Linked DNA regions of Bombyx mori. The protein of the gene in region 2 binds, or shares a complex with, the protein of the main gene of each other region. Links are inferred from orthologs where the notes say so. Each region holds a gene or a part of one and is shown on either strand. Other genes may lie near its edges.

What was found.
Region 1: B9 domain-containing protein 1 (region 2) and transmembrane protein 17 share a complex: the UniProt entries of both Homo sapiens proteins name them as parts of the tectonic-like complex. The link is inferred for Bombyx mori from reciprocal best matches to the Homo sapiens genes B9D1 and TMEM17.
Region 3: B9 domain-containing protein 1 (region 2) and transmembrane protein 231 share a complex: the UniProt entries of both Homo sapiens proteins name them as parts of the tectonic-like complex. The link is inferred for Bombyx mori from reciprocal best matches to the Homo sapiens genes B9D1 and TMEM231.
Region 4: B9 domain-containing protein 1 (region 2) and transmembrane protein 216 share a complex: the UniProt entries of both Homo sapiens proteins name them as parts of the tectonic-like complex. The link is inferred for Bombyx mori from reciprocal best matches to the Homo sapiens genes B9D1 and TMEM216.

The regions. Positions count from the first base shown.
Region 1 is NC_085116.1:10,339,082-10,347,601, forward strand, and holds the start of transmembrane protein 17, read left to right. Parts: upstream 1-3,308; 5' UTR 3,309-3,536; coding exon 3,537-3,671; exon of another isoform or gene 3,672-3,886; intron 3,887-3,985; coding exon 3,986-4,099; intron 4,100-4,444; coding exon 4,445-4,665; exon of another isoform or gene 4,666-5,859; coding exon 5,860-5,890; 3' UTR 5,891-5,944; exon of another isoform or gene 5,945-6,798; coding exon of another isoform or gene 6,799-6,972; 3' UTR 6,973-7,807; coding exon of another isoform or gene 7,808-7,955; 3' UTR 7,956-8,378; coding exon of another isoform or gene 8,379-8,491; 3' UTR 8,492-8,520. Other genes in the region: glycolipid transfer protein, read right to left, coding at 6,799-6,972, 7,808-7,955, 8,379-8,491. UniProt on the Homo sapiens protein: Transmembrane component of the tectonic-like complex, a complex localized at the transition zone of primary cilia and acting as a barrier that prevents diffusion of transmembrane proteins between the cilia and plasma membranes.
Region 2 is NC_085123.1:2,232,151-2,240,630, reverse strand, and holds B9 domain-containing protein 1, read left to right. Parts: upstream 1-3,359; 5' UTR 3,360-3,562; coding exon 3,563-3,812; intron 3,813-5,058; coding exon 5,059-5,286; intron 5,287-6,153; coding exon 6,154-6,266; 3' UTR 6,267-6,429; downstream 6,430-8,480. Other genes in the region: uncharacterized protein CG5098, read right to left, coding at 433-533, 754-888, 2,588-2,662. UniProt on the Homo sapiens protein: Component of the tectonic-like complex, a complex localized at the transition zone of primary cilia and acting as a barrier that prevents diffusion of transmembrane proteins between the cilia and plasma membranes.
Region 3 is NC_085110.1:12,596,294-12,604,513, reverse strand, and holds transmembrane protein 231, read right to left. Parts: upstream 4,636-8,220; 5' UTR 4,617-4,635; coding exon 4,478-4,616; exon of another isoform or gene 4,434-4,477; coding exon of another isoform or gene 4,400-4,433; intron 4,303-4,399; coding exon 4,133-4,302; intron 3,960-4,132; coding exon 3,831-3,959; exon of another isoform or gene 3,786-3,830; intron 3,691-3,785; coding exon 3,462-3,690; intron 2,812-3,461; coding exon 2,552-2,811; 3' UTR 2,415-2,551; downstream 1-2,414. Other genes in the region: mitochondrial import inner membrane translocase subunit Tim21, read left to right, coding at 1,100-1,447, 1,666-1,848, 2,022-2,168. UniProt on the Homo sapiens protein: Transmembrane component of the tectonic-like complex, a complex localized at the transition zone of primary cilia and acting as a barrier that prevents diffusion of transmembrane proteins between the cilia and plasma membranes.
Region 4 is NC_085132.1:4,408,594-4,416,006, forward strand, and holds transmembrane protein 216, read right to left. Parts: upstream 4,584-7,413; 5' UTR 4,452-4,583; coding exon 4,208-4,451; intron 4,029-4,207; coding exon 3,835-4,028; 3' UTR 3,429-3,834; downstream 1-3,428. Other genes in the region: gastrula zinc finger protein XlCGF17.1, read right to left, coding at 1-583; mRpS10 (mitochondrial ribosomal protein S10), read left to right, coding at 1,416-1,430, 1,512-1,753, 3,060-3,321. UniProt on the Homo sapiens protein: Part of the tectonic-like complex which is required for tissue-specific ciliogenesis and may regulate ciliary membrane composition.

The DNA.
Region 1 (8,520 bases), on a different chromosome or scaffold from region 2:
AATCATCAAGAGTAGATAAACTTGGAAGGGACATAATTTTCGATTCGACTTCTTGACTAAACAGTTCCCAATCATAGTTATTTAATCTGAACTTAAATAACGGCGGTAGTGGATTAAAAGTGCCTGTTTTACCAGAGGGCAAGGAAATTAATAAGGGATAATGATCACTGCCACAGGACAGCGTTAAACATTCCCAGTTTAACAGTGAAGACAAACTGGCTGAACTAAGTGTAATATCAACATAACTTGGGGCTTGACCCGGAACTGGGCGACGAGTGGGGGACCCATCATTCAGAACACAAAGATTATGATCATTTATTATCTCCATTAAGCCATTTCCCATGCCATCATCGTTGGGTGCTCCCCATAAGAAGTGGTGAGCGTTGAAATCCCCTAGAACTACTATTGGTTTGGGTAATGATTGAATGATTTTGTCTAGTATAGGCAGAACAGATAAATCCTTTTCTGAAATGTACACAGATAGATATGTTACCTCACCTACTCGGGCAGCCACTGCTTGTAAAATATCCGAGTTAAAAGCTGGGATTGGCAAAGAAGAAAATCTGTGATTATTACGAATTAAAAGGGCTGTGCCACCATACCCATCATGTCTATCATGTCTGAGAATATTAAAACCGGCCATACGGAAATTGGAACCTGGAACTAACCAAGTTTCTGATATGGCTAGTAAAAAAATATTATGTGAATTAATTAAAGATATAATTTCATGTTTTTTAGGAACTATACTTTTACAGTTCCACTGGAGGACTCTGTCCATATTTAAAAATATTGAAAATTGATAGTGAAATATTATTTATAAGTGAAAGAGCAACGTGTTCTGGTAGTTCTGAATTAGCAATAATATTTATAAGTGTGGATAACAATTTATTTAGTGTGTCAGAAGATGGCAACTGTGTATCCTTTTCTTTGTTGGATTGCAAAGCGGAACCTAGTTTACCTTGAGACTCATCAAATGAAATGCTGCGGATCAATGATTTATATTCTGATTTGTCATAACCCTTATTTAAAATAGATGCCTGTTTAGGCTTCTTTATAACAGTTTTTTTGTAAGAGACAGAATTTGAACTATCTACATCATTTAAACTTTGGGCAGATAGTGGAATAGATGATGTTATTTGTGAATATGATTTCTTTACAATAGGAAACAATTTAGAGGCTTCTTGGTATGATATGAGGTTTTGAGACATATGTTTTTTAATATTTGTTTGTCTACTAAACTCAGGGCAAGATTTGTTTGTAGCCATATGTTCACCTCTACAGTTAACACAAGAAAAAGTCTCAGTATTACAAGCCAGTCCGCTGTGCTCTCCACCACATTTATTACATCTAGGTTTGCTCCTGCATTGAACACGAGTGTGTCCAAAGCGACAACAATTGAAACATTGTACCGTTGGATAAATATACTGTTCAACTGGAATACTTGAAAAAAAGGAATACACTCTAGAGGGAAGAGACTGTCCGTCAAAAGTCAAGACCACAGTTTGAGTAGGAATCCATGAAGTTCCATCTGAGTTGACAGACTTCCTGTTTAATCTACGGGATTTGATAATTTGTCCATAGCCTTCTGGGATTTGCAGATTATCTACAATGTCCTCATGAGTCCACTCCTGAGGGATACCCTTTATCAAACCCATTTTACATATATTATATGTAGGAATCACTACATTATACAATGGATTCATAGACATGTTGGATATGAAAATATTGGCATCACTATGTGTTTTAAAAGTTATTGCCAGGCGATTACGACCTACTCGTTTAATTCCATCCTGTAATATATTACCAAGATTGCTTTTCTTTAGAAAATTTCCAAATTTAAGTGGGTGCAGTGATGTAGTACTATTAGAATCTGAGATTAAAGTAACATGGACCATATATGGGCCAGGATCCTGTTCAGTGTATTTTTTTCTGTAAACAGAGTCGGCCATTGGGGTCTCAGATGGTGTCATAGAAGGACTCGCTGAAGTAGGCTCTGGTGAGGTCTGTACAATTTGGCGAGGAGGCACTATAAGCTTATTTACGTTATTTGCAAGATTTCCCGCCAAAGCCTGCTGCAGCGGGCGCAACGAAAGTTGTTTGTCCGAGATCTTTGGTTTAAAAGAATTAACAAGTTGTTTCTTTTTTTGGGATTTCTTCGATTTAACGTTGACAAATTCAGATACATTGGAAAGGTCGAACTCATCACAGAAAAATATTGGTTGGCTAAACCTTGAGTTAGTCGTATCAGTTGTCTCCTCAGTAATATTCGGATCCGGGGGATCCGTTCCCGCCTCCAACTCCATACTATCTACGCTAAAGTACTAAAATATACAATTATAAACTAAACATATATACAGTTATAAACTAAAATATGCTACAATATCTACAGAATATCAAATTAAATTAATTAAAAAGGATATGAATTTTTTTATTGGCCCTCTTCTCAAGTTCCGTCCCAAATTTTTTGAAGGTTCCCGCCTCTCTCCTTATCGTCAGGTAGTATTAATAATAGTTCCATTTAACCAACTGGAAAGGCGAAGGTGTCACGCCATACATCCTTACAACTTTCGTATATTCCCTGAGTATCCCTGCCTGCAGCTTTCTGCGAGTATATTCTTAGGTTCGATATTTCGAGCGGTGTACGATATTGGAGTCATTTGGAAGATAAAGCCAAATTAGCCTCTAAAATGTTCGAAGTCCTCAATTTCACGCCTGGACTTGCGCTTTACAAAGCACAAGTCCAGCTTCACGTGGAGTACGTGAGGCCCATCACTGGGCCAAGGCTACCAGGTAGTAGGTACCATTTGACCCCATACAAAGACAGACCACTCAGATTGTCGATAATCTCATTCTCACGGATCGCTTGAAACCTCTTAACAACAGGTGGGCCATGAGCTTGGCCCCCCATCTAAGCAATAAAAAAAAACTTCCCGCCACCGGAGCAGATTTCATCCATACAATCTGGAACCGCTGTGTTCATCGATAGTGCGTTTCCAGAGATCATTCAGCTGTGTACCACCTGGCTCTAGAATGAACTCTCCTCCACGGTGTTTCTCGAGCGCTACGATATGTCCTTCATCAAACGCGGCCTGGAGGACCTACACCTACCTATTCAATGATTGATAGCGACTTGGCTATGCCCCTGGCATTGCTGACGTTCATGAGCGACGGTAACCACTTATCATCAGGTGAGCTATATGCTCGTTGGCCTACTAAGGCAATAAAAGAATAAAAACATGTAAAGTAATGACGTATTTTATTTTATTTCGTTTCATTTTACATTTTAAATACTTATCAGCCTTTATTTCAATTTTTGTTTAATGGGCTATACATTTGCGTATCCAGTGAACGAATTAAAAAAACGCAAACAAACTGTAAAATGTGCAAAACAAAACAATAACAAAGAGTAAAGCAAATATATTAAGTGTATAATCTATGAGTAAAGCTGATAAAGTATTAAATGAATAAACGGCATTTTGTTAAAGTTCAATAAATCCTATGTGGATAACTAATAAATAAACTTTGACTAAAAATTTATGATTTGTACTTTTGTACATTTAAACATTTCAATGGAGTATAAAACTATGCTACGTTTGCAGAAATGTCTGTACTTTAAAATAAATCTATTTGTTCTCTGGTGTTTTGTGACAGGGTTTTTCTTGTTTATGAAGGTATACTTTAAAATCTAAGCTGTGTTCACTGTACTTAGAAATTATCCTATTTATTATGAATAGGAAACGTAATACGAGATCTCAGTTAAAAGATTTGGGGCTCCCTGATCTCATAGGACTTAAATTAATTTGCTGACAGTGATGTATCAGCAATACAATGGCATTCCTTTAATTCAGATCTGGTGATAAAATAAAACACTACTATTTTTCAAAAAGTGAGGAACAAAGTAACTAAATTGAAGTAACTTTCCAAACAGAAATATGCATTGTGTAAAAAATTAAACAATTAAGCGTTTTAAAAATTATTTTTGCAGTTTGATCAACTTAGCCACCTGACAAAATACTTATCAGCTACAGTTTTTTTGCTACTATCTGGAATAGAAATTGTACGATTGTACCTTGGTAGATATGGAAATTTGTCTTGCAGAGTAAGTAATTAGCCATAGTTATTACTACTAATTATGTGACAAAATAAAAACATTTGCCAGTCCTTAACATTAAGTCATTGAATATTAATTAATACCTTAGTGGCAGAGATTTACAAAAACAATAGTATAAATAACAGAATGTAATAGGAAGAAAATTGTTTAAAAATACTAATATTTATGGGAACTTTAAAAAATTATATCTCGTAAACCGTGAGTCTTGCAATTTTGTAAAAAGCTTTTTATTTATGAGTACTAGCTACAAAGATATTGTGAACTTCCAAATCGACGGACCCAAAAGGAAAATTTAGTCAAAATAATAATTTGTAATATACTATTTTTTTTTAGGTTCCAGAATTAGCTGTATTCCTCATGTTGACAATTTTAATGCAAATGCCACTAGTTAGCTTCTTCCTTTTTCATCCATATTTGCTGAGTACACCAACAGAAATAACGCTGCATGCTATGTTTTGGATGACTACTATTATTGAGATTGTGTACGGGTTTAGAGCATTAAAACAAGCTTCTTCTCTAGCTAAAAGCATTTACCTGTCCACAACTCAGAATCAGTGAGTTAGTAGAGTAGTAAAAATATAAGGTAATATTGTAGTAATATTATGGTAGAATGCAGCATAATTTATATAGTATCAGACTGTAATTAGTATGAGCACTAATCATGGTATGATAAATACAAAACATTAAATAATAGCATTGTCAATGTGAAAAAGCATTTTTTGTTATGTCCTTTTTTTTATCGAAAATCAAATTTCTTTTGCAAAGAGACTTAGGATATCTATATATTTCATAACTTTAGATTTCTTAATTTGAAACAAAGGTAAACGCAGTATACATTTTTCATTTATTAAAATTAGAAAATAAACCTTAATGGGTTGAGTTTTTAAAACAAACAAAACATAGGCAGCAACTTTGTTTTCCCTGTCATTGCTGATATCCATGAGTGATAGAGGCTACTTATGCCCATCAGGTGGGTCATGCCATATGCTTAATAAAAAAAAAAAAAAATTTTTTTTCCCTAATAGCCTAATTCATGCTTTAGGGCACTGATGGGTATGATAACTACTCTTGCATGTACTCTTTTGAACAGATAGAACAGCTGTTGTATCAATGCAATGAAAATTCAATCTTCAAAGCACTCTCATTTAATATGTGGTTGATATACTTACAATAACCACTTAAAACCAGGATGAATGTGCGTTCATGCTAATTTTAACCATGACAAAACAGATCAGTCATTATGGCATAATGACCAAAGTTTTTTAAATGAAACATACTTTAAATGAAAAGACTTTATTGTCATAATACATTTGATGCTGGAACCATATCTTAAGATATTTAATAAAAATTGCTTTATTTAGCAAAGCTTTGGCATAATAAACATAAATATAATTATTTAACATAGCTTGTTATATAATAGTTAATTACAAAAGTAAATTAAGTTTTTTTTAAACAATACTGTCATAAATTACATTCAACTTTAAAAAATAGCGTCAAGCACACAAAAAATATTAGTCATAACTTTAAAATAATGATTGCACTTTTTCTTAAGTAACTACTTCAAACAAAATGGAATACAGAAAACTTCTCCGTTCATATAAAAGTAAATCAATACTCTGACTCATATTTATTAAATTTATTATTGGTATCAAAATATATAAGATTTCATTAAAATGGTTTTCAACATTCATATTTAAATATTTGTATTTGCCATTAAACTCTTCAAGGCACTGGTTTTTTATTTGTAGAAACACTGGGAAAACTTCAAGGGAAAAATGATATAATTTTGACACAGTTGAATGGATCTACAAAGTACAGTGTTTAAATGTAAAGGTTCGACATTTTCAAATTCATTTTGGAACAATCTGACTAGTGATGTTAACTTTCCACGAACAAAATTTTTAACGGAAATTATGTTCTATAACTCAGTATTTGTGATGAAGACTGCATTTAACTCCTCCTTTGAAATGTTGCCATAGTAAACCGTAAGACATCGTTTTAATCTTTCAGTGCCAAAGTACTTACTTTTAAGGCAGCTTGAATTGCAGGAGTTTTATTTGTCCACATTAAGATTTTTTTCTCCGATTCCGATTAACATTTACCTAAATCCCCTTTCCAACTATGAATGATCAGCTCACTCAGGTCTTAATTCTTCTAATTCTAAACAAAGGCTATCAGAGCAAGAAATTCGCAATCAAGTGCTCTCAGTAGCTGTGGAGTAACAAGGGTATTGGCTGCATCTAATGCAGTGACTTTATTTGTTAAAGTAATTGGAATTCAGAAGCTAGGTGTATTCGAATCTACGTTCGGTTACACATTATTTTGCCTTTCCTGTAAAAAGTATATTTTAGCATCCTGACTTTTTGCTTTTAGCAAATTCCGTTACAACCAATAAGTCAATATTCAATTATCTAAAACTACTTTTTAAAAGTGATTAAACCTCTTCATGCCTCTGCTGTGTCTCTAATTCTGTAGCTTTTTTTCACTTATTCATGTTCATTATTTTAAGATATATTTATAGTTTTAATGCTAGCACATAATTTAACTTCTATCAAAACTTACAAACCATTGAATCATTGTAACTGGTGCTTGAACTTTTTTTATTATCATATGTATAATATATCTCGTTAACGTACTTTAAAATATCCTATAATTTATTTTTGGTTTCAGTTAGATTTTAATGTTGGTTAAGCTGTATCACTAAATAAGTTGTTGTCTTTAAAAAAGTCGTCTATCTTGCAGCGATTTAAGTGCAATGTGATATTGAAACTCGCCAATTTTGTCTCGAAACTTTTGATATCACCATCAACTCCAAAAGATTTGATCATTTGTGCAAAAGTTGGTGACATCTTGCAGATGAACTGAAATGGAAATACAAAAAATTTAAGTATTATTTTTAAACTGATAAGTATTGACTTTAATTAGAATTTTATTTTTCAAATGTTTTTCAATTTACGCCTTGAATGTGGTGTAATTTATTATTATAGTTTACTTAAAAAAAAAGTCATTGCAGGAAGGTTGGCAAATGTGAAATATTGATATTATTTTGTACAGCTATAGATGGATAAAAGGATAGTTTACGAAAGGAAATTAATGAGGCATAGTGAAAAATAAAATATAAATATTAAGAAAAAGTGGCTTGCGCATGGCGATGCTTCGCCACATTGTACACAGACACAGACTACTATGTATAGACTGATGTAGGGATGCTCGATGGTCATCGATATTAAAACAAAAAACATCGTAACATCGATGTCACGGACATCGATATCGATATCGAAATTCTGTTGGCTGGTCAACCCTATATCAACAGCACAATAGGTTGATAGGTTCTGAACTTCAAGTTATTATTTTTAGTCAATTAACAAAAAGTATTGGAACTTATAACATGTACCTGTGCTCTGATATCTTTAATTTATTTTTCATTTTGTTGAATTATAAAAACGTTGTGATTTTATGGTTGTTTTATTAATTGATCAATATTTGCAAAAAATATTGATATCCTGCTAACAATGTCATTATCGATGCCATAATCGATGTTTATCCGACGTCGAACATCCCTAGACTGATATATATTATGTATGTATGTTTATACATGTATATAGTATACATGTATATTCATTTAAGGCGATGCATTGCCACGCAAGCAATCGGTTTTATTCGTATAGCCATTTCACATCGAAATAATAGACTTACTATAAATAATTGTTGTGTGACCCAACTGTGATACTTCTTTACAGAACCTTCATATGCTTTGGTGAATACATATTTCATATTTATCTCCTTTTTTGCCTGTAAATTTTCTAGTATATCTACAAATACTAATTCAAAAAACAGCAGAGCTCTGAAACAAAACATTTTGCAATAATATATAATTAATTTGTGTTTTTATTTTATCGTTATATGCAGATAAAAATAAAGCCCATCTGAGGTAAGTAGTGGTCACTGTCTCTCATAGACATTAACAATGCCAAGGATTCAGCCAAGTTGCTGACTACTGCCCAGGACTTTCTACAAATCTCGTTTGACGAAGGACATGTCTAGGGGCTCAGGAAACACAATGTAAGGGAGTTCATTCCAGAGCTGGATGGTTCCTGGCAAAAAAAGGTTCTCTGGAAACGCACTCTGGATAAATGCAGAAGTTCTAAAGAGTAAGAAGAGTTAGAATTGAAATAAGGGGTTCTATTCAGGTAAAAATGGTTAACTATATTGAATATTATTTATAAATAACATTACCCATTACTGCTTTCAAACCTTGTTATCATACCTGTTAAGCCATAAAACTCCTTCAGTAACAGGAGCTTTACCATTATTAATTTCTTCAAGCATTAACATCAGTAAACAGGAATTTTCATCAAATTTGTAATTTTTTTTTATTCTCTGAAAAACAAAACATACATATGTTGTTA
Region 2 (8,480 bases):
CAGAACCTTACATCTATAATTCTATACTAATATTATAAAGCTGAAGAGTTTGTTTGTTTGAACGCACTAATCTCAGGAACTACTGGTCCGATTTGAAAAATTATTTCAGTGTTAGATAACTCATTTATTGAGAAAGGCTATGGAACATCACGGTAAGGCCAAAACAAGTCGAACAACAAATTTATTGTTATCTTCCAAAATAGGGGTTTAAATAGCTCCTTAACATTCTATAATTCAAAAATATTTTCACTTGCTACATAAATGAAGTCAGGGAAAATTTTGCGTTATGCCAAAGTAACTATTCCACGCGGACAGAGTCGCGGGCAAATGCTACTATAAGATATATGGTTACAAAGTGATTTAGACCAAAATGCAAGTTAGGACATGTCCGCTTTCTCCCGTCTGTATTGTTATTATTGGTTCCACACCAACCTAATGAGATGTTTATCTGGTGGGGTTGGTGTGTGTCTGAACATCTCCGGAGGGGTAGCTGTGTGTCGGAATACAGAGTTGCTGCCCGCATTCTTCATGGCCTGAAACATTTAAATATTACAAATTAGATTATTGTTATAATGTAATTTCACAATAAATAAGGTGTTCTTTGTAGCATTGCTATTATGAATGATCAATACGGATTTTTTAAATACTGGGCTTTAATATGTTGTACAGGTTCTGTAAATGACAATCAGAATTGAGGTGGGTGCTTTTAATTAGGTCAGAATTGAGGTTGGTGCTTTTAATTAGGTCATGTACCTGTAGCGGATCAGGGGGCGAAGGCGCCGGCACATGGTACAGGTGTGGTGGTGGCGTCGGTGTGTGCCACGTCACTCCACGATCAGACGCCATGTGCGCCTGAGGGGCTCTCGCTAGGAGATTCGCCATCTGCAACTGTTTTTTTTAATTTTTCTTCTTATATTGTTTTAAAAGAAAGGAATAACATAGACAAACAATTCATTTGTAACAATCAACTATAATCAAGAGCTTCTGTTATCACATCTTATATTTTTCTACTTTGTCAGTCACTCATTATTTTAGTTTAGTAAATTTATTTTTCTGAATCTTATTAAGTATTATTTATTTATTACAGATAGAACTAAATCGACATTTGATTTTAAAGGTGACCTACCCACCTGAAACCATGAGGGTAAAGTGGTTTTGGGACAGTGGCTATCTTACCTCTATCCTCAAAGGGCTTGCAACATGAATAATGCTCGTGGAAGAATAAGGGGAATGGATAGAGGAAATAGTGTTCTCGCCCTAAATATAGGGCAAGTCCTGTGTCTCAAATTTACTGGAAAACAATAACAGCTATTTAATGTAGGTAGAGCAACATGAGAAATAGAAGAACAGGAATCAATAAAATAGTAACTTTTACATTTGTTTTCATTAGAACAACTGTCTTGTTCATATATTGTCTAAATTTGTAGACACAGTTTGAAGTCTTACATATAACTTTAAGTTTCTTAAAGTATTTAAACAGATGATTAGGAGTTTTTTTTTAAACATATTACTTAAAACATAGAGCTGTTTCAGACAAAATTCAGTTGAATGTTAGGCACATATAACGTTATCAGTATTTTAATTTTCTTTTAGATATAAGAAATCAATATTTGAACTTGACTCAACAACATTGTCAAAGTAAATATTTCATATAGTTACAGAAACTGGTAATATGAATATATTATTGCAGTAAAAGGAGATTCTGTGTTAGCAATACACTTGTTTTTTTTATTCAGTTTTAAAAAAAAATCATATTTGATAGTTTTAATTTAAGGGAAATGGCACACCTAATTTGTGAGTGATCAGCATTGCACTCATGGATATTAATAACAGTAGGAGTACTGGCAGGTTGTTGAGTCTCCCTGAAGGTTTTAAAACCTGCTTTGAAGAAAGACAGCACAGTGCGAGAGAAACAGCATGGAGAGTAGTTAATAGTTTGTTCAAAATAAGATACTATATGGCAATAATGTTCTCTAGAAGTGCACCATAGAAAGCACAGCTGTTCCATAAATTAGGTACAAACTCTACAATGGGTCGTGCAAATGGAGATGACAGGAGCATTTCAAATAATTCCATAAAGCACTTTCTTCTTGTTCTCATTAAATTAACGAACTTAGTTACTTATGTTAATAATTTTAGGCTACCATTTGTCACAAATTGTGTAGATTGATCTTGATTAAAAAAAACAACAACAGTAAAATATATAGGAAATATGACTAGTAACTTAAGTTTCTCAAAATAAAGTAACCTCCAATTTTATATTCTTTACTTAACATTTAACAATTATGAGCTGAAAGTGAGATTATTGTGTGCAGTATCACAATTTTCCAATTGACCTTCGTTTAAATTTATTGTTGTTATATTATGAAATTGCAACAGATTTACACCTGTCAATACAAACAGCTGATTGGTGTGTACTACATACCTACTTCAACGATTCACGACACGCACAAAGACACGTTCATAGAAAAATAATTAATAAACAGCATTTATCATTCACATTTCTAACGTAAGGATATAATGTAACTTCCGTCGAGTATTGTGAAACTCGATAAGTTAGTTGCGGTAATTAATGAATAATAAGCACCACCTGAAGGGGGCTCCAACCGGGGCCCAATTGTGATTGCCGACCATTCGGGTTGTGTTGCGATCCGCCAGACATGATGCACGGGGCAGTCGCTCCGATTTCGACAATTCCTATTCAGCACTATGTCGTCAACAGACACTGTCTCAGTCCACCATAATGATGCCGGCAACTTTGAAGCCTTCGCCCGCGTAACTCAGATCGCTTACGACGTGTACAGAAACTTCTGAAACAATCTCATGTGTGCAATCCCAAACTTCGTTCACACTTAACATGCCGTATGAATCACGGATAGCGATAGCTACTTTTTTACACTCAACATACATACAGTTTAAAGAAAACGAAATTTATTTAGTGCATGGTATGGTGTTCACGATTCCGATGCTCACTTCGCGTGACATTTTGAACGCATTTTGATTTTGAAAATAAACACTTCCCGGTAAAATATAGGCTAGCATTTGCTCAACAATAAGATAGTGACTTTAATCAAAGCAGTTTAAAGTCAAGTTTCTGCTGTAAATACAACTAAAATCACTGAAATAATTCAAGTAAGTGATAGATTCGCCTTCACAATGGTGGCCGATTTGGATTTGAAAGCAACGACAGCGCCATCTTGTGAATAAATTTTAAAAAGTGTCGACCAAACAGCACAGCGGAAACGTTGTACTCTATTGTCTTTGGTTAAAAAAAACCGGAAGCTATATTTTTATTTTTACCTCAAGTGTATTTTTTTTTGAAAAATCTAAAGACTTCTTCATACATTTCTATTTAGTTCTTGCTCCTCTCTTTAAATCTTTATCGGTCACGCACCAGTGTGGCTATTGATTGGCAACACCGTCAAGGTCGTTTCTATGGCAACAGCTGCTTTGTTTTGAATACTTTTGAACGGACTTGTCACGAACTTGAAACTGGTTGAAACTTCGTACATAATAATATATGTATATGAGTATTGAACATTATAGAAAATAAAATAGATCAATGAAAAGTACCGAGATAACCAAATTCTTAGTGTCTTTTAGCGGTCAAATTGAACACGTAACGTTTCCTTCCGGAATATTCGATGAATATCTTTATATTCAGTATGAAGTGGTATGGGGTCCGGATTGGGAGCCTATCACGGGTCTTCCTTCAGGAACGAGTCAATTGTCACGCCCCGGGATCAACCCAGAGAGAGTTGTTATCAACATGCCTATAGAAATGACTTTCGGAAGCACTAATGTGTATGGGTGTAAGTAAAGTGGACTTTTATGCTTTTTTGATACAAAGTCTTTTACGATTTGGTGATTGGTAGTTGGGTGGGTGGGTGCCGTGTACAATTCGGAGTTGAATTAACTAAAATACCCTGTCTCTCACGTCAACACGCGTTCGAGTTATGAATGAGACGGAATTCAGACGATAGAGAAGGGCGAAGCGACACCTTCCTCGCAGCTCACCCTGTCCACCTGAAAGCCAATCATCCGGTCGCATTTACCAAGACCTTTATCGATTGCAATGTCTCTACGTTGTTCGATATAATCCTTTAAGCTTAATTGTGGCACGGGAGCGTCTAATCAAAAATATCATCAAATCTACCCTACATGATTCATTGAACGTGTACAATTCATTATATTAGTTCTTCCTGCGTCAGTCCGCCCTGCCCATATTTACGACTAAGCAGTCATGCGTTGCAATTTGTGGGTAGTGACCATCGCACAACATTAAAACCTTGTATCTTAGGGTGGCTGACGGCAAGCATGTTGTTGTCACCATTAGGACCGGTATCCGATGACAATCATTTAATCTCCTACCATGTTTTTTTTATTACTTAGATGGGTGGGTGGAAATGCTCACAGCCCACCTGGTGTTAAGTGGTTACTGGAACCCATAGACATCTACAACGTAAATGCGCCACCCACCTTGAGATATGAGTTGTAAGGTTTCAGTATAGTTACAACGGCTGCCCCACCCTTCAAACTAAAACGCATTATTGATTCACGGCAGAAATAGGCGGGGTGGTGGTACCTACCCGTGCGGACACATAAGAGGTTCTACCACCAGAAAAAAATACTTTAGACACGTCTGTACGGATCTATCAGATCCAATAGCTCTTGCATTGATGCCTTCAGCTCTAGGACCAGGCTTAGGAATCCCGGTAACCGTAATCGTCGAATTCGGCAGAGTTCGTCGTGCAACCCAACCTAAACATCAGCTCGCTGAGTTTCTCGTCGGATCTTCTCAGTGGGCCGCGATTCCGATCCGGTAGTAGATTCATTCACGAAGCAGCAGCTCTAGAGTTGTTAGGTTGCCTTTGGAAGCGCTCAGGTAGTTGTTAGCAAATCCCACCCCTCCTGGCTGAGCCTTTGCTCAACCACCTATCCTGGTGAAATTAGACAGGCCTCCGGGCCACCAGTAATCCTTCATATTTAAAAAGAAAACCATGTTTTGTCTAAAACAAAAGTTTGTGTCGTTTTCTTGAAATATGAATGTTTTGCCAGGGCCCCAACTTGTTATAACCGTGAAAGCCCGTAATTTCATAACCGGAGATACATTGCGGGGGTACGCTGTTGTGCTACTGCCCCCGACAGCGGGTAGGCGATGCGTGACGTCACCGCTCCTACGTCCGAAGCCAGCCACGGTACTCGGCGAGTGGGTAGCCTGGCTCACCGGCCGGTATCCAGAGTTGAACGACCCGAAGATGTTGGCCGACGGAAAGGATAATTACAGTACGATTATTTACTGATCTATTTATTTATACCATACACATTTTAACCCTTTGTAACCCTTTCAAACCGAAATGCATTACTGCTTCACGGCTGGAATAGGCAGGGAGGTGGTACCTACCCGTGCGGTCTCATAAGAGGTCCTACCACCAGTAGTTACGCAAATTATAATTTTGCGGGTTTGATTTTTATTACACGATGTTATTCTTTCACCGTGGAAGTCAATCGTGAACATTTGTTAAGTACATATTTCATTAGAAAAATTGGTACCCGCCTGCGGGATTCGAACACTGGTGCATCGCTACATACGAATGCACCGGACGTCTTATCCTTTAGGCCAAGACGACTAAAGTGTAAAACTCGTTTTTAACGTTCTCGATATCGTAAAAGTTAACTCAAGTATGCAGTTGGAACAGCGCCCCTAGCGGCAAACGTAGGCAAATGTTCCAATTCCATACAATTTTGAGTTAACTTTTACGATATCGAGAACGTTAAAAACCTCCCACCAAACACACTGTTTTTACTGTCGTTTGTTATTAAGTCATGTGTTGAGCGATACTCACCTATCGAGTGCAAAGGGTTAATCGCGAATACGTCTGACCCGACCGGCTCTACTAACGTTGTACCGTTCTGTAATTTGTCCCTGTGTTTCATTATGTTATTGGTAAAAATGAGAGTGCTAAAGAAATATCTCTCAGCAATCAATGGTTTTAATAAATTTTATTACAAAGTTACATTTTAATCTTATAAAAAGTAATATTTTATTAAAAAGTTACGTAGAAGATATTGATATTGAATTCATGTTGCAACGACTTTTATGCGTTTTTCGAAAATCTAAAACAAGTTAACGTGCATTGCATTGTATTCCAGTGTTAAGAACACAATCGTCAGGAACCGTGACGGTGTCGGCCACGATGGTGTCCAAGGACCTCAGAAAACTGGGCTACGACAATGAACCGCCAGCCTACACTAAATATTCATAAAATCTATAACAAATAAACTAAAAAACCAATATCACGGACAATCATAATAAGAAATATGTTTTTTAATGCTCAACCTAGCGAGATAATTATTTGAGTTTTTAATTTAAACAAAAATGAAACGGACTTAACTTTATGGATGAATAAAATAAGATTTCACTACTAATTGTTTACTTTATTATTTTTATGTTATTTAGGCACTGATTTATCTATTTTGCTTGAATTTATTACAAAAAAAACTGTTTGTTTTAATATAAGGCACATAGTTAGGTAGTGCTCATTTCATTACTTCAATAAGAAAATGTAGGTATCAACGTTTTATTTACAAATAAAAATATAATTGGTTTAAAGTTTAAATACAACAAAAAAGTTGTAATTTTAGTTTATTAATAACTAAGGTAATTTTGGAAGCTGGTCTCCCTGTTTTACCCTCTAAGAGTTTCTTCATTCATGAGAATATTTACACCATAAACATAGTCTACACAACCTGCACATAATAACCATAATAAATTGATAAAAACAGTCGTAGAGTTTCCTTTATTTTTTCGCTTTTCTAAAAATCGGAGTTTTTGGCGGGAACGCGATGAGTGAAGTTGTGTAATTTGTTTTATTTCGTCTAAATGTGTAATAATGGTGGTTTATTAACTGTGAAAGTGCACAAATGTGGGAAAATGAAACAAAGCCGCTGGACGTAACTTCTCGGGATCCTCCAAAAAGATCAATGAAAAAGTCTCAGTAAATGACCACCATTTTACTAAGATTATCTTTCAATCAAATCACCTTCATTTCAATTCATAATATCATTTTCATATTAAAATAAAAATAAGACTTGACCTTAATAAGGGATTAAAAAAGTCTTAGTCTTAATTAGGTCTTAGTTACCAAAAATATCTCTAGAAATCTAGTTTTATTCATAACTAGCTCACCCGGCAGATTTCGTAGTGCCTCAATCGATAAATAAAAGACCTAAACTTTTGCATAAAATAAACTTAAAACAAACAAAAGATCCGTCCGACGGGGGGCACATCAAAGGGAAAACAAATTTGTTATTTATATTTAATTCCGAGCATTTTCATGTTTTAAACCTTCTCTGGACTTCCACAAATAATTCAAGACCAAAATATAAATTAATTAAGAAGCAAACACTCTTCTGAAAAGTTATTTGAACTTTTTTGTGTTATGGACGTAAACACACAACGAACTATCGAGTTTCTCCGCGGGAGCTCTAACCGTTCGGGGTCACTCGGCTTGCGAATACATCTATCACCGGTTCATAATTATGACCCGCTAAGAAGATTCGGCGGGAAACTCAACGGGCCGATTCTGTGCGCCAAAATTCGGAAGTTGTCTTTTTTTTTTTCTTCTTTTTAAATGATCCATTCAATGTTTTGCGCATCGAATTTGAAAATCGCGGAACTTTTTGTTGACTTTGACGTCATCAAGATTTGTTTCGAATACGAATGAAATGAGAACGATGTTTCGGAGCACGTATTACGATGTTTATTGTCAGGAGGTTCATAGCTCCCTCCCACCACTAGGATATGCAACGGATGCCGCGATGTATGTACATACCTGTTTTACTGACGTTACCTTTATCTTTTACTGACGTTACGTTACCTTTTATCTTTTTTACTGAAGTTACCTATTTTTTTTTCGATTTGACAGCTATGACGTCACAATATGGCGCAGGTCCGTGCAGATTCTTAATTGAAACGCATTGGAGAAGAACGTAATGCGGATTACGGTGTGTGAGGTGAAATAACTTACGGACTAAATGTAAAACTTACGTTGTCCTTTCGCTATGTGATTTCAAGAGAACCTCTTTCATATCGTTTCATTGATACATAAATCATTTTATTTAAACATTACTTATATTCAAAATATTTTTCGAAGTGTTCAAGTTTAGTTTGTCAGTTGGGTACCAAAGAAAATCAGCCCGACAAACGCCTCAAATGTCCTAGGTGCATAAAAATTCCTAAATTGTTAAAGTTATCTCACATATCACAACTGGATGGCTAACAAAACCTCCTTAGTTTTGAAGTCGTCGTGGCCTAACGGATAAGACGTCCGATGTATTTGTGTTGAGCGATGCAACGGTGTTCGAATCTCAGGCGGGTACCAATTTTTCTTATGAAATACCTACTCAACAAATGCTCACGATTGACTTCCACGGTGAAGGAATAATAATATCGTGTAATGAAAATGAAACCCGCAAAA
Region 3 (8,220 bases), on a different chromosome or scaffold from region 2:
CAACGGACTAAGACAAAAAACTTAATTGCAATGTTCAAGTTCAAACCAGTGATCTAAAATGATTTTAATCATAGATTATACACTTCTCTGATTGAAATAAAAACAGATTTTGACATTTACAGCGGTTTTTTTTAAGGAATTTTTGGACCTGGTAACTAAGATCTTTAAGTCATGTCTTATTATTATTAAAATTCTTATTTTATGAAAAATGATAATATGGAGTGAAATGAAATGAAATGAAGATTAATTTGAAACATTAATCAACTGGGATTAAATTAAATGAAATGAGATGATATGGGATGATATATAATCTCAGTAAAATGGTGGTCATTTACTGTGACTTTTTCAATGGACTTTTTGGAAGATTCCCACATTTATGCACTTTCACAGATACTAAACAGCTATTAAGTACACATTGAAACCTGAAGAAACACTAAATAGACAAAATAAAACAAATCACACAACTTCACTCTTCGCGTTCCCGCCAAAAAGTCTATTAATATTATAAATTAGTTACCTACTACATATAGAGTGGCTAATCGAAGAGTTTTCTCTATGTTATTGGATATATCCATTTATAAATAGAGAATGGTTTTACTTTTTTAAATTGATGCTTCTTCAGATTTTAACGAGCAACATTAGTGGCTTATAGGCTTTGTAGTATCGGTGAAAAAGCACAAATATAGAAAAATTAAATCGATTTGCTTAACATAGCTTTTTCCGAAAAGTCCAATGACGTTTCTACCGTTCAGTAAAATACTGAGTATTTTATTTTATCTCATCTGAACTCCTTTAAATTCTATTTCATTTCTTTTAAAATTTTTACTTAAGTAGTGTAATATTTTATATTTTTTATTGTTTTTAACATTTTCTTTTTCGTGTAATAAAAGTGGCTGTTTCGCTAAGTTTCATTTGCCTGACTAATTAACAAATAAGATAGTTTGATTGATAGCAATGATAGCTACGTAAACTTCAAAATTAAGTAAATAACTAAGGTTATTTTTATCAACTTTATAGGAAATTTTTGACGATGAAATAACAATAAGGAGGTTGAGTTTTTTTTAACCATTCTGTTAAATAGCACACTTAAAAGTGAACGATGACTTTAATATCTAAATTTTTACCGCTTTTACGGAACGGTAGCACCACTGAAAAGATTCCTGCCATATTACAAACTAAATTTAGAACTAATACCCGTTACTTCTCTTCTGAAAAAGAAAGTGGTTTGACTAAATCCAAAAGCAAAGAAAGTGCTTCCCATGTATCTACAGATGTAAGACCCTTAGGAGAAAAAATCAAAGAAACTACAAAAACTGTTTCTTACACCGGCGTAATACTTCTCGGTGTCGGAGTCACAGGTGTGATTTTCTTTTACGTTTTTCGAGAACTGTTCTCAAGTAACAGTCCGAACAGCATTTACTCAGAAGCTCTTGAGAAGTGCAAACAGGTAAATTACCTTGTGTGAAAGAAATCTTGTTTACATTATGATAAATTTACAGATTATTTAATAAACAAGGTCAAATTTTTCTATATCATTAATCATTAGCATTGCATAATGCAGAATGCAGTACAGTAGTCAGTATTAAAGTAAGTAATGAACAGGGGAAACAAACACTATTTAAAGTATTGTTTACCAAGTATTTATTAAATTATTGTCGATTGCAGGATCCTAGAGTAGAAGATGCTCTTGGTGCACCAATAAAAGGTTATGGAGAAGAAACAACTAGGAGAAGACGTACCCATGTCAGTCATGCAGTATATGAAAAAGATGGAGTGAAACATATGAGAATGAGATTCTATATTAAAGGGATAAGAAATAAAGGTGTTGTTGAACTTGATATGAAACAAGTAAGTTCTGTTTAAATAGAAATGTGTTTAACAACTTAAAAGTTCAAATAACACCATACATCTGAATAATTTGTATACACCTCATCAATTTCTTATAATCTCTGTTTAAAATTTTCTATTTTAATAAATTCATTTAAAATCTTTCCAATTCACCAGTACACTTGTTTTTTCAGAATGATTATGGAAACTATATGTGCAGATATTTGCTGGTACAACTTGATGACTACAGTGGAAAAACATTTATAATTGAGGACAACCGAGCTGAATTAGATAATACCAAACCTGATATCGCATTTCCAACCTTAACTCTCACTCAGTGATATAAAATTAACTATGTAACATGTAAATAGTAAAGTAGATATCGAATAAATGATTAGCAAAATAAAATTGTTTCGTTTCATATTATTATGTAAAGTTTTAGTTTAAAAAATAATAAATATAGTGAGCACTTTCATATTGAAATCTTTTAAATATATAGAATACTATACCTTCTTCTGACACCATAAGAATAGTTTTGGAATATGAATCTTATTAATTAAATTCTTTGAGCCAATGAAACTTAATGCTTATAATATCATTTTATTGCAAACATTAAAACATGTTTATCCTTATTAATAATTAAAGTGAATTTTACAGTGAAGACTAGAAATTGGCACAAATCAATTATTTCGCAGTACAATTTTATAGATCTTACATAAGTTCGTCATTCAAATGTTTTCCAAGATTGTACTTTCCATGACATGAGAAGTCGATTGGTAAATATAAATTCCTTAACTTTATTGAAGAACCAATGGAATATCACTACAAAAGAGAGATATTGAGGCCAAGCCCACTTAAACTCTTCTAGTATACTAGGAGTGTATCTTATTTGCATCTCTGGAATTCTTAGATGAACTTGAACAGTCATAGAATCTGTCTGGCCATTGTAGGTTCTAGAATTTATCGTTCTGACTTCTGTGGTAACTGAAAATAGTTTATTTTTTGGTTATGAATGTAGTTGAATAAATATGCTGTAGGTTTACTTATATCAGTGGTTACTGGACTCTGGTAACATTAGAACTTGAATGCTACTCTGCAGATCACATTAGGCTGACGTATCAATAAAGGCAAACCCACACTTCAAACTGAAATTAATGGCAGCAGCAGAACCACAGAAATAATAGCAGAACTGTATAACTGATTTGTAACTGGTATGGACTTTCAATGCGCCCGAATGGTATAGTAATTTGGGATAACCAGGAAGTTTAGATCTACTGTGGATAGATTATGAAAAATAATAGACAAACTATTATCAAGTAACTTTCTTTGGCCTATTATCTAGCTGTTGAAAGAATGAATACCTGATTAGTTTTGATCCAATGGACAGTGGAGCATTATGTTTTTTATTAAGTAACTTGAGTTTATTTGCCTTACTAAAGAAGGATTATCATTGATAATCAAATCTTTATTAACTCAGGATAAATGTTACAATTTTGTGTTAAAATTACTGTAGGTTTATGGCCTTCTGTCTGTGGCTGCACAACAATAGCCATTATTTTTGTCTTCAATGCTGTTACCAATATTAAAATATGAATAAGCACAAAATGTATATTTGTAAAAATAAATAATCTTACCTTCTCTATGAAAATAATCAGACAGATAATGATCAATAGACATGTAACTTTCCCATTTTTCAATTTCAAATAAAGATCTGTTATATTTCGTATCTTGATTAAACCATTCACAAGGTAAGTGGGTGGTTTGATAAAAATTTAGATCTCCATGAAAAATTAATTCTGATGGTGGTATTACAAACTCTTTGGTAATCAATGCCAAGCTCTGCATTTGTAAAGGGCATATTGTCTGCAAGAAGAAAACAAAAGGATTCTATTAAAGTATTTGTTCCATATTTAAAGCACCTATTTATAAAATATAAATAAACAGAAAAGATTTAGTACCTTTTTTTATTAAATATCTAAAATGTCAAAAATAGTTAAAAATACCTTCAGCTGAAAATCAAGAGATAAAATTAATAAAATAGAAGACACAGTTCTGTCTGGTGGTATATTTAGGTGAAATTTAATATACAGCTCATCCTTTTTGCCATCTCCAGTGAAATCATTTTCTTGAACCTGGAAATACATGTTTTTAATAATTTTATTCATCAAAAACTGTAGTTGGTCATGTTATCAGTATAAAATGTACTACACAGTGTATTTAGTCTTATTTCATAACAAACTCATTGTCTATATAGTTATGTAATTTGTATTTACACAGTACAATTCTTTCGATAAAAATTCATTACCTGCATTTCTGCACATGATTCAGAGCTTTCTTCATTATCATTACCAAACAATCCAATTTCTGTACAAAGTATGGGTTTACTGGGATCCTCAGTTTCGGCTATTAGTACATACTCATACGTAAAATGAACAGTTGGCTGTTCATAAAAACTGTGATATTTCACCCAGAGCCCTGTAAAAATACATATTTGTATTACGATCTTATATTTCGATATCTATTCGGTAATTACTGGCTATTTCAAATAATTTAATTTTAACGATAATAGGACCGTTTCTGTATACTGTTAAGTATTTTCTGGACATGGTTCACTCAGCTGATTTTAGCAAGGCTAAATTGGAGTTCTAACCTCTACTTTTCTGAGCTATAATAAAAGGCAGTATAATATTTAAGATAGACGTAAAAAGAGTAAAGAACATGGCTTTGGAAAGGAAGGTACTTTTATACTGTATTTCGACATTTGAACTAAACAATTTGTACAAGCTCATTTTAAAATATAAAATTTACAGTGTTTTCGGTGTACTAATATGCGTAAAATGTTAAATATCAATAGCATTGACCTGCAAAACAAACCGTTGCTAAGCAACGACTTTTTTAGGGCAGAGGGTTTTTCTGAATTATTTTACAATTAAATGCAAACTTTAAATTCCTGAATCAAAAATATATATGTACTCTAGAAGCGTTAAATTAAGGAATATAAAGAAATAATGATTCAACATCAACTGGTCAAAGGGCGAGCTATAGCTCTCGTTTACATATATAGAATTTTTCTACTCTTTGATTCTAGGATGGTTTATGATCATTTTAGCAATCATAAATCTTTACTGGTCGTGGAGCTTCGTGTGAGTCCATACTTACATCACCCTGCCTATTTCTACCGCGAAAAAGTAATGCATTCCAGTTTGAAGAGTGGGGCAGCCGTTATACTATAACATTGAGACATCAACCTCATATCTCAAGGAGGGTGGGACGCTATTAATGTCGTGATGTCTATGGGCTCCCGTAACCACTCAACTCCAGCTAAACAGTAAGCACGTTCACCAAATTATGAAAGATTAGATTTTTTCTGAGAACGGAGTCCAAAATTCTTCAATATTGATACGAGTTCTCTTCAGAGACACTCAGTAAGAAGTAGATCCGACCTTACGCTTCTAGAGTCAGAATAAATAGGTGTTTATCGTTTATTTTTAAAGAATAAAATATATATTTTATTATTGTAAAATTTTCTACATGCACCATAGCTTAATGTTAAGACGCCCAGGGTTGTGGTTGAAGGCATTTGTGTTGTCTATTGGCCTAAACGACCATTTAATCTTACGTGAACTCATTCATTCATCTACGAAAGTGAACTATCTTTTTCAGCAAGGATCCTGGCGTAGACAAAGGGAGGGAGGCGGGTTTGGTTCATAATGCCGGCCATTCAAACGGACACTTCGTTTCAAGGTGCATATGAATTAAGCTTTTCCGCCAATACAGTATTTAATATACTATTAAATATATACCTATTAGCTTTCTAAATGTTCCGGTACCCTAGTGAACTTTTATGTACTTTTAATATTTAAGTGCACTATGAAAGTCCCGCGTTTTGATGTTTTGAATTCACTGACATCTACTCACTGTAACTTATATTGGTATTATATTCTAATATTAACTCTCAATGACGGGTAATAAGATGGTCAATTTAATATGGAAAATACTTAATAATAAGTAACAAGACAAAAATTACGAGTCTTGAACAATTCTAAATTCACCATCTATGGCAATGGGATAGAGGAAGAAAAATTGTCGTGACAACAAAATAAATGTTACTGCATGCCTACATGTTTAAATATTCAAAAAATTAAATCATTTATGGCTTTTTACACAAGAAATGCTAAGATAATAGGTATCTCGCTTAAATTCTAGTGCCTAAGATATTGTGGTTCCCTCCCTTTGGTGACTTGGAGACCAGCGAGGGACACCGAAGAAGAGGATCTCAACTGCTCTGCATGGATCTTGCGAAATAGCAATCTGGTCTTCGGCAACCCGTGGGGATTTAACGATTGTATATTATAAATTTTTATTTATTTTAATCAATAAACCTTATTAAAGGCACGATAGGAATGCAAATCCTACTTATTATTATCGCAAGAAGCCAATTTTTCCAATTTAAAGATTAGGCTGTGTTGTTTATTGGAGGCGATTATTACGAAAGAAACAAAAATAGACAAATCGAAAAAATCTTGATTTTCTTGTCGTACGCAACTAACCATTACGTAAACAAATGAACCGAATTGATTTAGGTATTTTTGGATGGTAGCTCCTACTTAAATTTTACGAAATTCGTAGCTAATGAACGTTAATGATATTTGGAATTATTATCAAGCACAGTTAATTGCTGAGCCACCGTTTCTTTTTTTGTTTCAATATTTAAAATTGAAAACATTTAATTTTTTTTTATTGGCTTGATGGGTGGACGAGCTCACAGCCCACCTGGTGTTAAGTGGTTATTGGAGCCCATAAACTTCTACGACGTAAATGCGCCAGCCACCTTGATATATAAGTTCTAAGGTCTCAAGGATAGTTATAACGGCTGCCCCACCCTTCAAACCGAAACGCATTACTGCTTCACGGCAGAAATAGGCAGGGTGGTGGTACCTACCCGTGCGGACTCACAAGAGGTCCTACCACCAGTAAAAATTCATTGAATTCAGATAATACTGATGTAATTGTAGTCTTGTGGGCGACATAGGATTTAGTACTAAAAGTGTAATACGCTTTGGCTTGCGGTTGCTTATTACGCAATTTTTTAAAACATTTTCTCGGCGGAAGACAATAACAAAATTCCTTAAACTTACGGAAATAAAAATAACAGTATAATAATATGTACTAGGTTATAAACTTGCTAAAATGAATAAGTTGATTCAACTATAATTATGTACAAACGAGACAAAACCTTGCTCAGTAACCGAGCCTGTCCATCCGCCCTTTTGTTTTCTCACAAAACAAAAGCAACACATTTTAATTCTATGGAACGTGTACTTCCTAACTTGTTCTTCTGCATGAACAATATTTTGAAAATAGGCATTGAACTTAAAGTGAAAAAAATACTTTATGAAGCAATAGAGAATAACAATTTAATTATCAAATTTTTTTTTGATGAGTTTGATTCAATAATTTATCAAATTTTTAACGTAAACTTTTTCCCTTCGACATTGTTTATTACTTACTATAGGTAGGCGGACCTACTTACCTAGGCGGTACTGAAAATTTCGGGAATTAACGAAGTGACACAACATTACTATTTAAAAATGTATTTATTGCTTTTCGAAGTATTCTCCGCGAAATTTGACACATTTTTCCAAACGATGGAACCAATCATTGAAGCAACCATTCCATTCGGAAGTTGGGGTCTCCAAAATGGCCGTTTTGTAGGCGTCCACAGCTTCTTCAGGTGATGAAAATCTCTGTCCACGGAATTTATTCTTTATTTTAGGGAAAGTATAGAAATCCTTAGGGCTTAGGTCAGGGCTGTACGGCGGATGGTCTAATAATTCTATGTTTTCTTGCTCTAAAAACTCTTTTGTTCTGTGCGCGGTGTGAGAACTCGCATTGTCGTGATGGAGGATGATGCGGCGATTGCAGTTCTCTTTACGGAGTTCAGAAACGACCTGTGGCGAACAAATACTAGCATACCATTCTGCATTAACCGTTCTTTGTCCCTCAAGAGGAATAGTCGTAACATGGCCGGTTTTGGAGACAAACGTGGCCACCATTTTTTTTGCAACACTCCGTAAACGAACAATTTTTGTTGGCTTTAACTCATTTTCGAACACCCAAACTCGTGACTGGTTTTTTGTTTCGGGTTCGTACGCGTATATCCAGGATTCGTCACCTGATACAATGTTGTATACAGCATTTGAGGATCTTGAGTGGAATCTTTCGAGAGTTCTGACGCACCAAGTAACGCGAGCCGCTTTTTGCTCTTCACAGAGCGAATGCGGTATCCATCGGGAAAACAACTTTTTTACACCTAATTGTTCATGCAAGATTATTTGTATTTGACTCATGCCAATGTCTAAAGTTGCCTGAATTCTGAATCTTATCTTAGAA
Region 4 (7,413 bases), on a different chromosome or scaffold from region 2:
CTCTATATGACTTGTTGCATATTTGACAAGTGTGTCTAAGATTATCATGTTCATCTGAAAGCCTATGTTCCGTATATTCATCATGTGTTTTAAATTCCATGTTACATTTTTTACAATAGTAATCTTTTGGCTTTTTGTCTTGCTTCTTTGTAATTTTGAATATATCATAATCGTATAAATCGTCATCAAAGCATGGATCGGTCAGATCATTGTCATGAATAGTGTCTTCTGAATTATCTTCTATGGGATGTTTAAGTATCTCATCGGAACGTTGAGCATTTTTTCTGAATAGCATTGCACCTTGGAGCAGAGAGTAGCACGGCTGGCACAAATATTTCGGGTACGGGTCGCTGATACTTACAAATATGCCGCCAAAAGAGCTTAAAGCCTGTGGTATTTCGTCGTTGCTGTAGATTGGTATGCAACCTTCTTTCAAACAAATTCTACATGAAGTATCATCAAATTCTTTTTTTATATAGATGTTATTTGAACATTGGCTAGACAGTCCCTTGTTTGACTTTTCTAAAGTTTTTCTTAAATGTTTACAATGAAGCATTTTAAACAACAACATCGGGCCAACCATGTTGTGTATTGAATCGAGCTTTGTATTGGTTTTAAAAATATGTATTTGATTGTACAAAAAAAAGGTTTTATCAATATATTATTATGTAGTATGTAGTCTCTTTCTCTTTATTAAACAATATTAATACTTAATTTATGTCAATACGGTCATAACGCGAACGAAATCCTACTATTTACCATAGATTTTTTTTTGGTACAATTTTTCCTTGTTAGGAAAGGCAAGGGGATCTAAACCCATACAGACTTGTCTGTTCCTAAACTATAGTTAATTGTACTAAACATCAAATACAGACTAAATAGATATCATAGAAAATACTCATATTTGACAGAGATAGGAGATTAGGAATTTGAAACATGTAAATTCGGAAATCAACAATCTAATGTAAAAACCCATATATCTCGGCGATTAGAAAATAGCAAATGAAACCCTGTGAATCATAGACACAAAAACTTTGAGTGACTTTGTTTACTTCAAGTTTGTAATTTTACATAGTATACTTTTTGTGGCCTTAAATGTAATGTATTTTTTTTATTGTATTATACTTCTTCCACCGATAATCCTCAACGCTGTCGCTGAGGGTCGTGGCCTCCTTTAATAACTTTGTAACTAATCAAAACGCTTATTGTAGTATGTAAGGCCATGCTTCCTTTGCTTGCGCAGCTGGACTAAAATAAAAAGTTTTATTTTTAGGTTACGTTCATAGATTATACACTTAATATATTTGAGGTTACGTTCTGTAAAAATATTATGAAAGTGGAAGTAAATTAAATTATTAAATATTTCTACAGGACAAAATTAAGATAATACTATAGAAATTAAGTTATATTTAAATATGAATGCAATAAGAGTGAGTTAAAAAGCATACGCGTCAGAACAATCTAATTTACTTGAATCGTTATTACATTGAAAATAATGGGTTAATTTTCAGAGTATCTGGCGTTTAACTCCTGTTAGAGGTGTTACAATACCAAATTATGCAATTCGATCACTATCCGCCAATACAACGGCGCTACCTCATGCTGTTGAACCAGTGGTTCCTCCTGTGGAATTGGACAAGTTATATAAAAGAGTAGAATTAGAAATGCGCGGTATAGACCCGGCTGTGCTACTCAGCTATTCATGGTTTTGCGTTGCTGCTGCTTCACATCTTGGTATCGAAGTCACTAAGAGGTATGTTAGAAATACGAGTCTGTTCTTTTAATGAGAGAATAGCTCTTTGATTTTCATGATTTATAAAATTAAAAATCATGAAAACAGGTTTTATACATGCTTTTATCCCAAAAGTTAAAAGAGTTAAATTTTCCTTTATGGTCCATTGTCTACCTTGACGATTTCCTCAATTTGTATGGAAACAATGTTTTTTTCTTGCAAACCATAAGTTTCCGCAACCTGAAATTTTGCAAAAAGCTTTTTATTTATGAGTATTATATACAAAAAAATTGTGAACTTCCAAATTGATCAACCATAAAGGAAAGTCTAGCCAGTTAACGTTTTATGTTCACACTAATAACATGAAATACGAAAGAGAAAAATAGTTATTATATTTAAATCCTTTTAGAAAATTGCAATAAGGTTAAAGTCTGTCAAGGTTTAATTGACAGAAATAAACACATTAAATACCAATCAACTGTAAATAGATGAAACAAAGAGTCTTCCAAAATTAGTGTACTTCTTTGAATATATCAAAATTATTATTTTGAAGATGAATTTGATTTTGCTTCCTATAAAATATTTGATGCCTTCATTATTTTATTGTATTGCCATATATTATACCTATAGAGATATATATAGGAATGCATAGTATAGCTTTGTTACATTTTTATGTTATCTGTGTTCTGTCAGCCCAGAATAGCATCAGAACATCTCTTACTTTTGTTATCATAGTAGGTTTTTACGGGATTTGCTTAAGAATAGGCAACAGCAGTTTTGAGTGTGGCGGGTAGCCATCATACAACGCAAGATAATTGACAGATGCCTGAATCTCGCTTACGACATTTTCAAGATAAAGCGCATATATACAAGTTCCGAACAACAACATTCGGACCGTCGGTCTACCGAGCAATATCATCCGCTCGGTGGAAGATCTTTCCTTTCGTCGTTAAGCCTTCCCCAAACCCCAAATTTCCAAATGAGTGTATATACTTGTGTATATATGTGATCTCCAACCAGTTGAAAGCTTGTATGGATAGGTACGACAATCCTGCCCATTTCAGCTGAGAAATAATAATGTGCTCTGCTTTGAAAGGTAGGACGGCCAATAGAATCGAAATTTATTGAGATTTCTATGGGCTCTGGTTATCACTTAAAACTACATGTACCTTATACCTGTACTAGTAATGAAATAATGAAATATAGGGAGATAGAGGCATTTGAAGATGATTTATTACAATTTAAAATTTTACCCTTCATATTAAAGATTTAAATTTAAGTTATTAGTGCTAAAAGAGATACTACTAGTTAGTTTTATTTTTTTCAGTTGGGCACTAAGGAAAGCAGAGAAAGAAAGGCACACACTTTTAAAATGTGTACACATTTACAAGAAACACAAAGTGCAGTATGAAATTCGTACATACTTCAGGTTTATACATATGCAGAGGCTCACTGGATCTACGTGCGACACATATTTGGAATATATCGAACGGAATCTGCCAGAAGGTTGTGCGTTGAAAGTTACAAAAATTGAATGTCAAAAGTTACCTGAACATTTAGTACCGCCTAAGAAAGAAAGCGAAGAGTGAATTGCCATTGTAATAATTTAGAATAAAAATAAATTAGTTAAATGTTATTTAGTTTAATACTTTATTTTTCACCAACTCTAATTTATAAATATTAAAAATCAATAAAATTAAATTAAATATATTTAATTAACAGACACATAAAGATCAAAAGCCAACTTTGAACATTAAAGTTAAAAAAACAGTCTTAATTTACATGTTGCTCTTGATTTTATTCAAAGCGGTATAATATAATAAGATGATCACAGTAATTCTAATGCAGTTTTCACAAAGGGGATTACTAATGTTACAAATGGCTAGAAACATAAAAATGCAGACTAGTAAATATAATGTTACCAGATTAACAACAAAGTAAGGAGAATCATAAGGCATGAGATTATATTTTTTCACATGTTTCTAACTTTTAGTAATCCTAGTTTACTACACAAGAGTAATTACAATGATCAAATTGAATTAATGCTATATTTAATAAAAATATGGAATGTTTGCAATATTTGAGGTTCAGGTTTTCATTATTTAATCAAATTGTTGATTTTTACATACAGTAAAAATAAATAAGATTGCAAAAGCAAACTCGAGAGCATGGAACATTAACATGACGGCACACCAGATGTATTCCAACCGAAGTATGTAAGTTTGATAAATTAGAAAATAACATACTCCTACAGCAGAGGGAATCGTCAATAGCACTGACAGAAAGACCGGTATTTCTGTAACAAAAACATTGTTAACATATTATGGTGAAAAGTAACATTGAACGAAACGAAAATAGTTTCTATTTTAATTTACTTAAGACACAAAATATTTTTTTGCGATTTAGTACATATTCCGTACAACAACGAATCTTGAAATATATTTTTGCAGAATATTGAATATATACGATACTTACTTTTGCTTGCTAAGTTTCCTCTACGCCCCAAAAAGATCCTAATCATCTCTACAAAGCATAGGGCGCTAAATATTCCGGCTTCTGTTAATAGAGCGTTTTCTGGATACGAAACATTTATAGCCTTCAATATCCCCATTGCGACTTCACAAACGATAAACATTCCTAAATAAAAACTGTTCAAATACAGTAATATCTCATAAGCCAAACTCGAATTAACGTTTGTTACTTTCGACATTTTTTCCATATTTTATAAAATTGTACGAATGTATTGAAAAGTTTCTAAATTGAGAGGAGGCTGTTTCGAGGTTTCGTATGTAATAAAAATCAATGTTTTTGTTTACACTTTTTGAAATTTGTAGTAGTAGTAGTTTTATTTTTTCAATTGGAAGGGCACAGGTATCATACCATACAGCCAAATCTTTTATATATTAAAAAAATTAAAAAATATATTATTAATATGAAATGAAAAGAAACGAAGTTGATTGATTTGGAACATTAATCAATTGGCAATTGGCAAATTAAATGAAATGATATGAGATAATATAGAATGAAATATATTGTCAGTAAAATGGTGGTTAATTACTGAGACTTTCTCAATGGAATTTTCGGAGAATCCTGAAAAGTAACGTCCAGCGACTTTTTTTCATTTTCCCACATTTGTGCACTTCCACAGATACTAAACAGTTAATAAATCACCGCTGTTACATATTTAAACCTAAAGAAACATTAGATATATAGACAATACTGAGATAATACATGAGATTGACAATACAACTACATGAGAAATACATGAGACTGACAATATAACTATATTGAGACCTTAGAACTTATATCTCAAGGTGGGTGGCGCATTTACGTTGTAGATGTGGATAGTCGTAGATAGATTATGGGCTCCAGTAACCACTTAACTCCAGGTGGGCTGTGAACTCGTTCACCCATCTAAGCTATAAATAAAAAAAAGCTCTTTGCTATATTATAGCGCCCAGTAAATATTTGACTACTACAAGGCTTTTTTCTGTGTTATTTACACTAAAACTGTGTTTTTATTTAGAGAAGTCTAAAAGCTCACGGTTCGTCTGGTGTAAAGTGGATACCAAACACCAAACATCATAAGAATAATGGCGAACCCACCTTTAGACATGATGTCAGAGTTTCAATTTTATTATATAACAGCTGATCCATCCTTCAAATGCATAACTGCTTTGCGGTAGAAATGGGCAGGATCATTATTATATCTACTCATACGGGCTTCCAATACGTCCTACTACCTGTAACCTACCAGTAAATTATCAATATTTTTATTGCTTCGAGATGGACAGACTAACTTCAACCCGACTCTTCATACTGGAACACCTTACTGGCTTGCGACAGATATAGCTATACAATACGCTTTGAGAACAATAAATGCGGTTTGATGAATACAGTATGCTGGTTAAGAAATCGCATCTCGGCCTCAAATAGTGCTTTAAGACAAAAAAAGAAATGGTCATTTATAGTTTATTATTTAATTTAATTTTATAAATACCTAACACTTTTTCACTTTTTTTTTAATTAACAAATTTAATCAGTATTTTATACGGGTCACTCACATTCACTCGAATACCCAAACCCGCAAGTGTAGGACGACATTTGCAAATGAATAAGCAAAGTTTTCGCTGCATTTGTGGTTTTCCAAGCTGTGTCGGTTTTTTAACAGACATCAAAGCGCGCGAACCGCGATCCTTCGCGAAGCCTCCCACACATTCGTGTGACCAGTTGCGCCCAGGATTGCGAAGGTAGCGGACGTTTCGCTATTTTCATAGATCGTGACGTCTACTGTGTAGCGTATCTTCATCAAAAGAAATTCCATAAAAACAGCATGGCTGTTAATGATGTCTGGGAAAGAATTCAAAACTCTTTTTCTCTTCAATGTTCTATTGACGAATTAAAAAGGAGGAGAAATTCGTGAGACATTCGTAAACAAGTGTAGGAGGAAGCGCAAACGGGTTCGCAAATTGAGTACCGAACCCATTTGCACAGCCGCTAAGTTTGCGAATGAATGTTTGACGGCCCTTCACATGCGCGCAAACATTCGTACAATGTACGAATATTTGCGCGCATGTGAGTGGCCGGCATTAGTAGCTTTGAATGATTGCGGAGTACTGTAAAATGTGGTACAAGAGATGATTATTAAGAACAAAAAAGCTTTCTTTTTGAATTGTGACACTTTAAGGATAAAACAAACTAATATTTTAGGAAATATTGTTTAATATCGGGAGACAAACATTTTAATAAAACAATAATCAACAACACAAAAAAGTTGATATTATATATCTATGGGCTTTTTGAAGCATAGGTCTTTGGCCTGGCGTAAAATATGGGGTAAGTTCGCTCTGCTGGGGACTTCCAATATGTATTAAGTGTATTTATTATCTATGCTTCCAACGTTAACCACAGGGAAAAGCTAATAAAATGCCAACGTGCCATGGTAAGAAGCATGCTAGGGTAAAAAATCAAAGATAGAGTCAGGAACGTAGACATAAGAACAAGAACGAAACTCACAGACATTCTCACCCGGATAGACATCCAAAAATGGAGATGGGCTGGACATATGCTACGCCACCCCACTAACAAATAGAGCAAACAAGTCACCCTCTGGCAACCAAGAGACGGCAAAAGAAGCAGGGGTCGTCAAATCAGGAGATGGGAAGATGACTTGAAGCAGACAGCGGGACCATTCTGGCTGAGAGTAGCAAGGGATAGGACCCATTGGAAGGAATTGGAGGAGGCCTATGCCAAAAGGCACACCGAACTTAGGGACCTCTTGTAACCCTATGTTTAGGAATAAAAAAAGCTATTATTATTATTATAATAAATAATAATACTCCTCGGAATTGTAAACCTGTGCTTACAATACGTTGACTTTTATAAAATTCAACTCGCCTAATTCGAAGATCCTTCCCAAGGAGTTCTCCATTTCAGGCACAAGCTTTGGGCTCCAAGAGAGACTGATCGCCGAAATCTCGAGCATTCCTCGCGCTATTCATGTATGCTGTCAATTTATAGCATGTCATTGATTTATAGATTCATTGGCGGGAATGCGATCAGCGAATTGTTTTATTGCGTTAAATAAGTGTTACTTCGAGTTTAAGCATGTAATAAGCTTACCAACTGTTTAGCATCAGGAAAATGAACAGAAAAATGCAACGAGTTGCCGGACTTGACTT